Linked DNA regions of Oryzias latipes. The protein of the gene in region 1 interacts with the protein of each later gene in a pairwise test. Links are inferred from orthologs where the notes say so. Each region holds a gene or a part of one and is shown on either strand. Other genes may lie near its edges.

Region 1 (7,065 bases):
TGTGTGCTAACAATTTCAGTCATTTTGTCCTGCTTTTATTAGACAATATTACCATTTGGGCCTCTGTTTGTGTTTACTTTTTTTCAAAGTAGATAATATAGTCCCCCGATTTATGGATTTAAGGGACTAAAGCTGAGGGTTAGCCTCATAGTGGTTGCCCCCCTACTTAACCAAAAATGATAGTGGTAATTTAAAACAAAATTAATCTGAAAGTAAAATGCTTTGTCACTATAATGTAACGTCTACTTCCGCAGGTACAGAGAGTAACTTCAAAGTAACGCAGGGGTCGTGTAAAGTCTCTTAAGTTAAAACATCCCAGTTGAAGGTTGTCTGGTTTCTGGGTGAGTAAACCCTGTAAATGGGGTCAATGGGAAGTCCTTTCGTAAAAGTTCTCAGGTGTCAATCAATGTTTTATCAAGTCTACAGTAAAGAAGCCTGACCTGTGCTAGCATCCGGTTCCGTACTGACGCCCCCACCCCTGTCCCTAGTCGCCCCCGCCTTGCACCGCTAAAGCCCCCCCCGGAACCGTGGAACACTTCAGAGGCGCTCAAACCGTCACCGACTGGGGGGGAGAGAGAGACATGTCGTGTTCAGGCACGCAGCAGGGAGAGGCCGGCTGCGGCCAAAATGGAGCCTACTGTTAGCTCTATCAACACCACCATAAGCAGGGCTGACCAAACAGGAAAAGAAAAGTACACTTTCATAATAAAACAAAGTGGTTCATATATTTTAAAACGTTGTGGTGTGCTTTGGTTAAGTGGACAGGAACTTTTTACAAAAAGAGTAATAACTTGAAAATACATATAACCTACATAGAAATCGTAATTTTATGGCTAAGTAATGTGATAGCATTTAGGCAGTGAATTTTATTTTGAAAGTCTTAAACGGATGAAACTCAAACGCGCGTCAATGGCCACGCTTTTAGAGCCACATCTCCTCCGCAAACAGCCCGCCACCCCCGCATTGCCATAGCTCTTGCCCCGGCTGCACCAGAGGAGCAGGCCGCGAGGATTTTTCTTTTCTCTTTTCTTGGAGCTCTCGCAGCGATGCGGCTTGAAAGGTTGCGGACAAACACACCTACTCACCGTGGGAACCCGAGGCCTGCTGCTGCTGTCGGCGGCAGAGAGCAGATGTTCCCGGCACGCCGGAGATTTCCCCCCCGGACGGGTTGGGGAGTTCAGACAGAGAACCGAGATGTAGCGAGACAGCCTCACTTGCCTCTGCCCTTGCAGGATCAAAGAACTTCCGCACAGACCGCTGCTCCGTCAATTCCCCCCTACAAAATAAAACACTTCCTTTCAGATACAGTTCCACCGAAGTAAAACTGGATTCATATCTGCAAATAATGTAATAATATCGATAAAAAAATGATTATCTTCTTTATAAATAACAGTTGCAAAATTGACAAAGATAACTAACAAAATGTTCATGCTAAAAATGAAATTATTTTTGTTTATTTCACTGACACATGCACAAAACGTATACAGATAATTAAATAAATAGTATTAAAGATAATGAAAACAGTGTTTATAGAAAAACTGAGTTATTTATATTTAAAGTAAATGCAATATGCACTTTATTTTTCTGCAGTCTTCTATTACATCAAAACTATTCCAGAGTTAGAATAAAACTTTAACAGCTCTCATAAAATGTTTGATTTTTTAAAAAAAAAACAATAATTGTTTGTTTAATTGTATTAATGGTATGTATCATCTCAGGAATTTGTCCTGTCATTTCCTCTGGATATTTATAAGCTAGATTGTATTTTATTTTGTAAACAGTCTTCCGGAAGCGACACATGCTGTTTTCTGTCTAGCTTGATGCGAGGTTAAATCGGGCTAACCGGATACACCCATTTTACAATAAACAATGAAGAGCACTCACTCTGTTTGTTTTTCAAAAACTGAAACAGAGTTGCGTCTTAAATGTTTAATTAAGTGACAAGACGTCTCACTCTGCTTATTATTTATTTATTTTATTTTTAATTTTTTGCAGAAGAGTTCAAAAAAACCGAATTACATACTAATAACAATAATTTTAGAACTTGCTTTATTCATTTATTAAATGTTTGTTTGTCTGTGTATTTTCAAATTTAGCAATTTGAAAGTCAAGTTAGAATGCGTAAAATACAGGCGCTTCTGCTCATACCAATAAAGTACAGTATTTTATGTATTAATAATGATTTTTTGTAGCATTTGTTAGGTTAAATCGATAGGGTGGAAAGAGTTGTTGCTCTGAAAAGGCGAGAAGGTTACTCTGATCTATAGACGTTGAGACACACACAAAAATAGACAAATTAATGCATAAATACTTTCAGAACAAAAACGGTGGGGAAAACAAAAATTTGCCTTTTGATATTAACAAAAAAAAATTTCTTTGCAGCTTATTGAAAGCTTTGCATTTTTTCTCTGCAAGCAAAGATACATTTCTGAATTTGCTTTAAAGATGTTTTGTTTCAATGTTTTGGCATTGAAAACGAGTCTAATTTAAAACGTGTACTTTCCTCTAAGTCATCGAGGTTGTATGCACTGATTATATAATTCCTTTGTTTATGCATAGTTTTTTTTTATAGATTTTCTATGTCTTCATATGACACTTTAAAAAAAAATATTATTTGGAATTTAATCTTTTACCGCGAGATCACGTGATCTGGCCCTTTGACCCATTCTCTCGCGATAGGTGGAAGCGGCTCTCGGCGAGACCGTGTCTGCATCGACAAATCGGCTCCCGAAGACAATCTGCTCGTTTCCGAGGTAAGAGGGGATGATTAACGGCGCGCGTGCACGATCCGCACGGACAGAGGGCGTGTTTGCAAACGCGAATGCGCTCACGAGCGCGAGTGTGCGGACGCGAAAGGGATGAGGGCGTGAGTGTTTATATGCATGTGGATGAGAGTGACGAAGGATGGATGGATGGATGAAAGGATGGATGAATGGCTGGATGGAGGAATCTGCAGTCTGTCGGGCTCGAGGCAGCGTGCTCGTGCAGAAATGTTGCGGGGGGGCACAGCGGTCCAGGTTCATGGGTAAAACGCCCTCCTCCTGATTGTCTCCTCCCCTCCTCCTCTTCCTTCTGACCTTCAGTATGATCAGAGGTCACATTCTAAAAGGTATTCAGAGTTCTGTTTTTCACACCTGAGTTCAGGCCTGAGGTGGAAGACCTGAAATGTATTCTGTGATGTCAGAGGGTGCAAGCATCCTAGAGACAGACAGTTGCCAGGTGTACAGGTGGAGCTTGAGCATCTCATCACAGACACTCCAGGCAATTTGGGCTTTTTATTTTCAAAAACAAAGTGCCATGGAACTGAAATATTTAGACTTTCATGTGGCAGCATAACCAGAACAACGATCTGCAGAATTGCCGTTCCAGGTTTGGCCGGATGGTTCCAGGACTGAGCAGGGTTGGTGTATGTTTGTGTTTCAGACGGGTCATGGAGGTGTCGTCTCACAGCCTCTTCCTGCTGCAGCAGCTCAACGTGCAAAGAGAGTTTGGCTTTCTTTGTGACTGTACCGTTGCCATCGGAAACGTCTACTTCAAAGCTCATCGAGCTGTGCTGGCCGCCTTTTCCAACTACTTCAAAATGATCTTCATCCATCAGTCCAGGTGAGAACATTTCCATTTTCTCAATAGTTAAAACTAATTTGGTAAAAGACACCTAAGTTACAGGGACATGGTCCTTGATTTTAATAGCAGGACTGTAACCATATTTGTTTTGGAATTGGTCGATGATACATTTTTGCATTTTTGCAGAATATGATGAGATGGGGGCTCAATTTTAGTTTTAGATGCCCATAAACATCCTATTTGAAGCTACGCACACACCGGGCTTGTGACGCGTGTTCAAGAATCTGCCAAACCCGGATTTAAAATGTGCATTTAGCTCATGATGTTCACACTGGACAGGCAGGGAGCCAACGGAAGTCATGTGACCACATGTGTTCATTGATATATGCTGTCATTGGTTCTTTTTGATCTCCAACACCGGATGTTCGTTTTTTGTCCTCAGTGAGTGCATAAAGATTCAACCCACCGACATCCAGCCGGACGTTTTCAGCTATCTCCTACACATCATGTACACAGGCATGTGTCCCAAACAGCCTGTAGACCAGAGCCGGCTCCAAGAGGGCATCAAGTTCCTCCACGCCTACCAGCTGTGCCGGAAACCCGGTGAGGCCACCGCAGATGCTGCTGCAGATGCAGTCCGCATGTCAAATCTGTACGGCATCCAGATATCCTCCCAGCTAGCCAACAAGGGGGTGCCAGGAGTTCCCAAGGCAACGACGGTGTCCCGCGGCACCCCTGAGGATGGAAGTTCCATGGACCGTGGGGTAAGGTCCCATTCGCAGCTGTCGCTCGCCGTTGGACTGGAAGGGGTTCATTCTGACCCGCAGGCGCTGCGGAACATCTGCTCCGTGGCTTCTGGAGACGACTCGGACATCTCGGCTCGCATCAAGCAGGAATGTGTGGAGGAGGAAGACGGCGAGGGAAGAGAAGGTACTGTTGTGGGTTCTCCGGGTCAAGGGTGTAGTCCAAGCCAGGGGCCCCTCGCTGAACCCAAAGAGCACGCACTCGTCTTGCTATGTCCTCGATGTGGGGAGCGCTGTTCATCCCCAGAAGGCCTGCAGGAGCATCTGTTTAGCCATGCCCTCAACCCCGCCCGTCTAATAGAGGGGCTTTCACAGGGTGGAGAGCTGGACGCTGGTGTGGAGGAAGGTCCTCCTGGGGCCCAGGAGCAGCTGGATGCAGGGTGTCTGGAGGAGGCGCTCAGGCAAAGCCAGGCACTCGCCAACCAACTGGCAGCGGAGTTGAGAAGGAGCCGGGGGGGAGGAGGTAGTAACAGCCCCGCCCCCACCACTCTGCACTCACGTAAACGGAAGATTGCCTGCGCCGTCTGCAGCTTGCGCTTCACCCACAAGAGCCAGCTGCAGGAGCACATGTACACCCACACCGGCAAGCCCGGACGTTACCACCGCTACGGCCGCCTCTGCAGCCAGCTGTTCCAGAGCTCCACCCACTTCTGTGAGGGTGGGACAGACGCGGGGGGAGCCTCGGCACTCTCTGAGGACGCCAACAGGGATGCTCAGGACAACGGCAGCTCCTGCTACTCACTGGACTCGGAGGTCTCCCAGGAGAGCGTGGATGGCGTTCCTGTTGAGTGATGGCGCCCAACGGTGACAAGACTGTTTGGATGTTTGTTTTCTAATGGCTCTGTACCTGTGCAGGTGTGTGATGTGAGTCAATCATGTGGTCATGGTGTTGGTTGGACTCTGAAGAGCCTCGAGGATTGGCGGAGTGGGTCTAGGTCGTGTTTTGCGCTTCTGGACCATCAATCTTAAATGGGAAAACACCATCAGACTCTCTGATTCTTTGGTTTTCATTAACGTGTGGGAACAGGAAGTGGCACACACGTTGTGATTCCGCACTAGTGGTTATGTGGAGGACAAAGGCGAGCCGTTGGACTTCGGTGCCGTCAGACGCAGTAGTGCCTTGGCGTTGCGTCTGACAGTCGTTCTCCTTTAGAGCTTCTTGACAATCCGCAGCTCTGTCTGCCAGCAATTCCTTTCAGATGCAGTTTAAACTGAGACAAAAATCGACAAATGTCGGCTTTCTGCTTCATTTCAGATTTACAGAATCATCCTCGCCCATCATGAGCTTCAAGCACCGACCTGAAAAAAAACACATTTTAGAATTATTTTTTTTTGTCTCTATACGACCAACTTTTTTTAAGCAAGAGAACTCAAAAGGCGAATAAAAGACAAAGCTTTTTTTTAACAGATCAAAGTGAGAAATGACGTGTTTTCGTTGGGATTAAGGGAGATAAGACTGAGCAGAAAATGTCAAACAGTGTTTCCTGATGGAGGCAGGAACAGATGAAGGAAAGTTCCTCACCTCAAAAAGAAGATGAACCGCTCTTTTCATGGCTCATTCATCGTTTTCTCTGTTAGCTTTACATACACGGTTGAGTAAAAAAAGGAATAAGTAAACATGTGTGATGTCCTTTCAAAATAAGAGTTTTTTTTTTAGAGAAACAGAGAAGTTTACTGTGACTATTTTGTTCCTCTTTAGTCGTTTTATTTCTGTGTATTTTCCTTTATTTGTTCTCAGTCTTTCTCATTTCCTGTTATTTTGTTTTAATTCCAATTTTCCTTTTTTCGTTCTGTTGTTTTTGAGTTTGTAGTCCATATTTTCTCACATATTTTTCATATCCTGTCTTCGTTTACTCCTCTCTTTCTTCCTCTTTTTTTTTTCTTTCATATCTCGGGAAGCTTTCAAATTTGCTATATGAGAAATGTTTACATTACTGGAGAAATATGTTATATTTTTACCATAATATTTTTGTGAAATTCTTTTTCTCTTAAGTATTTATTTATTTATTTGTTTTTATTTTTAGTTTGATGACTTGTCATCCCGCATTAGTCTGAGGAGGGTGAAATGATTGACTTATCAACGGAAAAAGTGTACTTTATACCAACAAATGTCAAATTCCTGGAAACACATGATCAGCATTTACTGAGAGGATTTCCAGCTGAAGGTCCATCGATTACTGATCGCTGAGCGAGTGAATGTTTTGATCGTCTGTGTTTTTGCTGTAAAAAAAAAAGATTTTTTTGTATATAGTTGTTTATTGTTGATGGAAGTTTCACTTTTTGTAAATAAATGTCTTTTTCCACCAGACCTATGACTGCTCTTTAAGCACATCGCAACAAACTCCTTTCAAATCCCATATTAAACTCCATCATAAACTACAGTCCCCATAATCTGTTCCTCTCCATGGCTACAGACAGACAAAAATGTAGATATAGTTTAATTATACATTATAAAGCAGAGAGGATTTTCAAATGGATATTCATAGTGCCAGTTCAAAACCGATGTCTCATTAAGTTAATCTAATTTGTTGTAATCTAATACATTTTTAATATTTATGATAATTTAAATCTGATTCAGTCCAAATAAAACATAATTAAAAGAAAGCTGGATTATTTACCCAAATCCTAAAATGTCTACCTGAGTTTTTGTTTCTAATCATCTTTAAACTGACTTGTTGGTTTTATGTAAACATTAAAA
Region 2 (5,403 bases), on another chromosome or scaffold:
GACATAAATAGAAGTTCTACTTATTTTATTTAATCTGAAATAACTTACTAGATCTTTATATCAAAGCTTAAAGGCATACAGTAAACATTTCATTTTTTGACTTTTGCTCAAATGATATTCAAAGATCAAATTAACAATAATTGTTGTTTTTGTAATTTTCTTTTTTTTTTTTGAAGGAAAATGACTAAAACCTAAATATGACTGTTTCCTGGTACAAACATATGTTATGACATATGTGTTTACATAATACTAAATCTTTTCAGAAATCGATGAAGAATGCAGTTTGAAGGTTTTTTTTGGGTGAATGTGTTGGCACTACAGTGTGATCCATCAGCTTGTAGTTTCTTGTCTTTTGACCCTCAGTCCTGTCTCTACATACGTGTGTTCACCCTGGTGACTGATGTGGTTTTAGTGGCGAGGAGCCAGAATTTATTCAGACATGTCCGTGAGGGAATCTTTTAACCCCGAAAGCTATGAGCTGGACAAAAACTTCAGGCTTACACGCTTCACCGAGCTCAAAGGCACAGGCTGTAAGGTAATATGTTTACATTATAATCTACTTTGGATAAAAGAAGGATTTAAATAGAAGATATATTGTAATTTGGGTGCATTGTTTTTTTTTAATGACTACAGGTCCCCCAAGATGTGTTACAGAAGTTGCTAGAAAGCTTACAGGAAAACCATTATCAAGAGGATGAACAGTTCCTGGGGGCAGTTATGCCTCGATTAGGTAAAATCTTCTACTCTTAAATTTGATTTAAGACTTTTTCATACTTATTAATAAGTTGTAAAAGAGTATCTTGCTAAATCGGATCCAAAGACATTCATGCTTTAAGGACATTCAGTCAGAAAGTGCACAACTATTGTGTTTGTTGTCTGACAACAACCCCTTTCTCTGTGTTGTAGGCATAGGAATGGACACATGTGTGATTCCTCTCAGACATGGTGGTCTTTCCCTTGTCCAAACAACAGATTACATCTATCCTATTGTAGATGACCCCTACATGATGGTATGGACCTCACCTGTATCTGGAATGATTGACTGGCTACCCTTTGGTTTTGTTGTCTCAAAACGCTCTTGTACTTTCATTTGTCCCTTTTTTATTTTATTTTTTAGGGAAGAATTGCTTGTGCCAATGTTCTAAGTGACCTTTACGCCATGGGAGTAACAGAATGTGATAACATGCTGATGCTTCTGGGAGTCAGCAACAAAATGTCGGAGAAAGTAAGAGACTTCCTGTAGATCATGTTTCTGAGAAACAGAGGTTAACTTTTCTTTTTGGGATGGTGTTTGTTCACCATCTGCTACTAATATTTACTCTTTAACAAGTGTTCATATCTTGTAAATAAACCATTCATAAACAGTTTAATGCTCAGGAACACATAGTCCAATCTGAAGACAGTAAAACAAACAATTTTCTGTGCTAGTGATGTCAGAAATGCAAGCAAAAAACAAACAAACTAAATAAGTTGCAATAATCACACGAAAACGTTAGTATAGAGAAAGTTGACAACATTTTGAAAATGAAACCTGAATTGTGACCCTCATTCATCATAATTGAACATTATTTGTGATTTATGGAACACTGAGAGGTGCTGTCTCAGGAAAAAAGCAAAGCTGATGTAAGCACCTCTAAAGTATGAGCTTGTTATGTTGTTGTTTTTTTAAACCTTGGTGGCCGTTTCAGTATAAAGACTTGGACTTTTTTTATCACGTCATGCTTTTTGTATCAAAAAATCCTCTAAATACACTTTTTTCCTCTGCACTTGTCGGTTGTGTGGCGTCACTAAAGTTTTTCTTCGATTACACCCATCTGACCTGCTGAATGGCTAAAATCTAAGTCTGTACCTCAAAGGTTTTGCGCATTTTTCTGAAAAGCTTGGGCACATATTCTGGCTAAAAGGGTGCTGCAGGTTCTGCTCACCTGCCTTCAGTGAGAGCAGCAACAGCAGTTTGATGTGGGCAGGGCAGAGGACCAAGCCTGCTGTATTCAAGTGATTGGATCATGATCTATTGAGATTTAGCAATACAGTCCTTTCAAGTACAAATAACATATATTATTCTCTGGATCTTTGTTCACAACTCTTTGTGTTTTTAGGAAAGAGACAAAGTCATCCCACTGATCATTCAAGGATTTAAGGACGCGTCAGAGGAGGCGGGCACATCTGTAACAGGAGGTCAAACCGTTCTCAATCCCTGGGTCGTGATGGGAGGAGTAGCAACAACAGTCTGTCAGCCCAACGAGTTTATCATGTAAAAAAAGGCTTTTGCTTCCTAGTGTTGTGTTTTTTCTGGTTAAGGGTAAAACCATAATGGAGACCTGTCCTTTTTTTAGGCCAGATAATGCAGTGCCAGGAGATGTTTTGGTGTTAACCAAACCGCTTGGAACACAAGTGGCTGTCGCGGTGCACCAGTGGTTAGACATTGTACGTGTCCCATTATAATGCTCAGGTAAGAATAATTGTTTCTGAGGTTGTCAATAAAGATTGATAGAATTCTTTTCTCCTAGCCTGAAAAATGGAACAAGATCAAGCTGGTGGTAACCCAGGAAGATGTGGAGTTAGCCTACCATGAAGCCATGATGAACATGGCTCGGCTTAACAGAACAGGTAAAAAAAAAAAAGAAATCAGGGATGTTACATAAATTTGGTTTTCAACCACTACTGGATCAATTGTTCAGGAGTTCCATTTTGAACCACAGCAGCCCCTGCAGTAACAGGACTGCACTGCGGCCCACATATTTTGATTGATTGACTGACTTTTAAGCAATTGATAAAAAACAGAGAAAAAAAAGGCAATACAGATACATAGATATATCAAATCTATTTGAGATATTGATTTATAAACTGATCAGAAATGTTATAAAAGAAAATGATGATATCTACTTGCCATTATAATCGCTACTTACTTTTTATTACTTTTTTGCATTTTCTAAAAGAAGGAAAACCAACATTTTTTGGTTGTTTATAGGTTTAGCTGTTGATTTAACATTTACTAAATATAAAAACTATTAAGTCCCACTCTGATCATCTTTTCAACTATTTTAAAAGCGCTCCTAGTGGTCTTTTAATTATTATTGTGCCATTTTTCATCAAAATCCCCAAAAACCTGTGTTGTTTTCTGAGACATAGTTTCTGCAGGGCAACAATAGTTCATTAGAAATTCACCTCTGAGTGACTATTGGACTATTGAAGCTGAGCAACCCCGCCCCCCTTCCCCTACCTGCTGCAGAGTATAGCAGGAGGCTTGTGACACACCCAGCGTATTTTCTACGTCACAATTTTCTAACAGCATTTTTTTTAACTGCTCCTGAATCCTAACATTTTGATAAAGAAATACTCGGTAAGGCAATTTTAAGACTAATTTTCTTTATAGATGACCTCTCATCAGAAAAAGGCCACAAGTGCAAGTTAAAAACACAAAAAACAATCTTTAGGAGATTTTTTTCAAGGGTTTATTTTATTGTTCTCTGATCACAGTAGGAAAAAAAAAAGCAAACACATTTTCTTTCCCTTCGCAGCTGCTGGCCTTATGCACACCTTCAACGCCCATGCAGCCACCGACATCACAGGCTTTGGCATCCTGGGACACGCTCAGACGTTGGCACGACAACAGCGCAGCGAGGTCTCTTTTGTCATCCACAACCTCCCAGTTCTCGCCAAGATGGCTGCTGTCTCCAAGGCCTGCGGGAACATGTTTGGACTCATGCATGGCACCTGCCCCGAAACATCAGGTGTGTGGTCACCTGGTTCTATCTTTGCACAAGCGGATGTCCTTTTAGTTTAAGCTCCACAGAGTTGGCAGAGAATGATGTTGATTTTAACCACAGACCTGGTTTTTTTTTTTGCCTTTTAGCACGTTTTTATCTGTTTTTATGTAAAGAAATCCCCCCCTTTTTTTTTAATAACATTTTGCTTATGAAAGTTTGACATTTTAGGATGTAGGTTTAATTTGTAGAATACCAGACTCGACATTTTTCCTGCATTAAAAGGGGCTCATAATGTCCTAACAGTTTTTTGTTGCAGCAGAACTCAGAAGTGCTGCTCAACTGATACTATTTTGTCATAGAAAAAACAATTGACCTTTTATAAATCTGGCCTGGAGGACCCATGTCTAGTTTTTAGGAGCACACAGAAAGAACTATTAAAGAACATCATGCTGTATCTTTATTTTTATGTTGAAAAGTAAAGGGAGTCACAATATGTTTTGGGATTGGTTAAAAAGTAATGACAAATGTTTTCTAAAAGAGAAAACTGGAAAGTTATTTAAAAAAATGTTTCCGTGCAGGAGGCTTGCTGATCTGTCTGCCCCGGGAGCAGGCCGCCCGCTTCTGCGCTGAGATTAAATCCCCCAAATACGGAGAGGGACACCAAGCGTGGATCATCGGGATCGTAGAGAAAGGAAACCGCACCGCTCGCATCATTGACAAGCCCCGAATCATAGAAGTGGCGCCGCAAGCGGCCACGCAGAATGTCAACCCGACTCCTGGTGCAACATCCTAATCCCGGCTGGGCTGCATCACAGACCCGAACCCCAAAGCTTGGTTGACGGATTTTAGACCCAACTACAAAATCCTTCTAGTGTTGAAATATATTTACAAAATAGTCAGTACTCAACAAAGACTGGGTTGGGCTGAATCAGCGTGGAAACAGCGCCCCACAGTGGCTCTGGCGCAGGCTACACCCTCAGTGGACCCGGCCTGCAGCGCCCCCATCAGTAATTGGCAGGAACTACATTATGCCAGAATCCATTTGGCCTTTTATGTCTGTTCTGTTTAATTAAGTGTGCTTGACTGACAGGCAGCTTCTGTTTAGAGAACCATGATGAAGACAAAAATCTGATACTGTTGATTCATTTTGAATCTTAGGAGGTCTTTCTTGTTCGTCTCTTAAAGTTGCTTTGGTCAAACAAACACGCAGTGTATACGCGTTTTTGTTTGTCGTCCTCACACTTTGTACAGTTGAAAGCCTAGTTTTAGTTCATTGCTGTAAGTGATGCCTTGAAAGACATAGTGTGACCAGAATGGCTTTTTTTTGGTTTGTCTTTTTATATTATGTTGACATTTTGTATCATCCCCGCGTAAACGAATAAATACTACATTTACAGATGGGTTCTTTTCCCTGTTTTAGAGCTGCAGTGGATCGTCTACATGCAAACTCTCATTTCTAATATGGTCACAGAAATGGAAATCTGTTTTAGGCACAACAGACAAATCCTACACTACCCGCATTCCCAATGTATGAGGCCACAGAATGAAGATGAGATTCATCTTCTTTAAAGGATGTAGCTAATGTTCGGGATAAGCAGTCTGGTTTTATTTGCTGATTTCTAATGTTGCCGCACAACTGTTGAAAATAAAATCCATGAAGCTCCCAGCTTATAAAGGCTAGAGAGATTTTTTT

Evidence for each region.
Region 2: the proteins of zbtb25 (region 1) and sephs1 interact in binary tests that used the Homo sapiens proteins (3 or more experiments, as listed by UniProt). The two-hybrid records come from large-scale screens. The link is inferred for Oryzias latipes from reciprocal best matches to the Homo sapiens genes ZBTB25 and SEPHS1.

Annotation. Positions count from the first base shown.
Region 1 is NC_019882.2:12,021,788-12,028,852, reverse strand, and holds zbtb25 (zinc finger and BTB domain-containing protein 25), read left to right. Parts: upstream 1-2,426; 5' UTR 2,427-2,753; intron 2,754-2,765; exon of another isoform or gene 2,766-3,109; intron 3,110-3,423; 5' UTR 3,424-3,430; coding exon 3,431-3,603; intron 3,604-4,006; coding exon 4,007-5,159; 3' UTR 5,160-6,675; downstream 6,676-7,065. UniProt on the Homo sapiens protein: May be involved in transcriptional regulation.
Region 2 is NC_019864.2:20,626,078-20,631,480, reverse strand, and holds part of sephs1 (selenide, water dikinase 1), read left to right. Parts: intron 1-363; exon of another isoform or gene 364-412; 5' UTR 413-439; coding exon 440-535; intron 536-633; coding exon 634-730; intron 731-906; coding exon 907-1,010; intron 1,011-1,117; coding exon 1,118-1,225; intron 1,226-2,099; coding exon 2,100-2,254; intron 2,255-2,336; coding exon 2,337-2,427; intron 2,428-2,510; coding exon 2,511-2,610; intron 2,611-3,521; coding exon 3,522-3,734; intron 3,735-4,288; coding exon 4,289-4,503; 3' UTR 4,504-5,403. UniProt on the Homo sapiens protein: Synthesizes selenophosphate from selenide and ATP.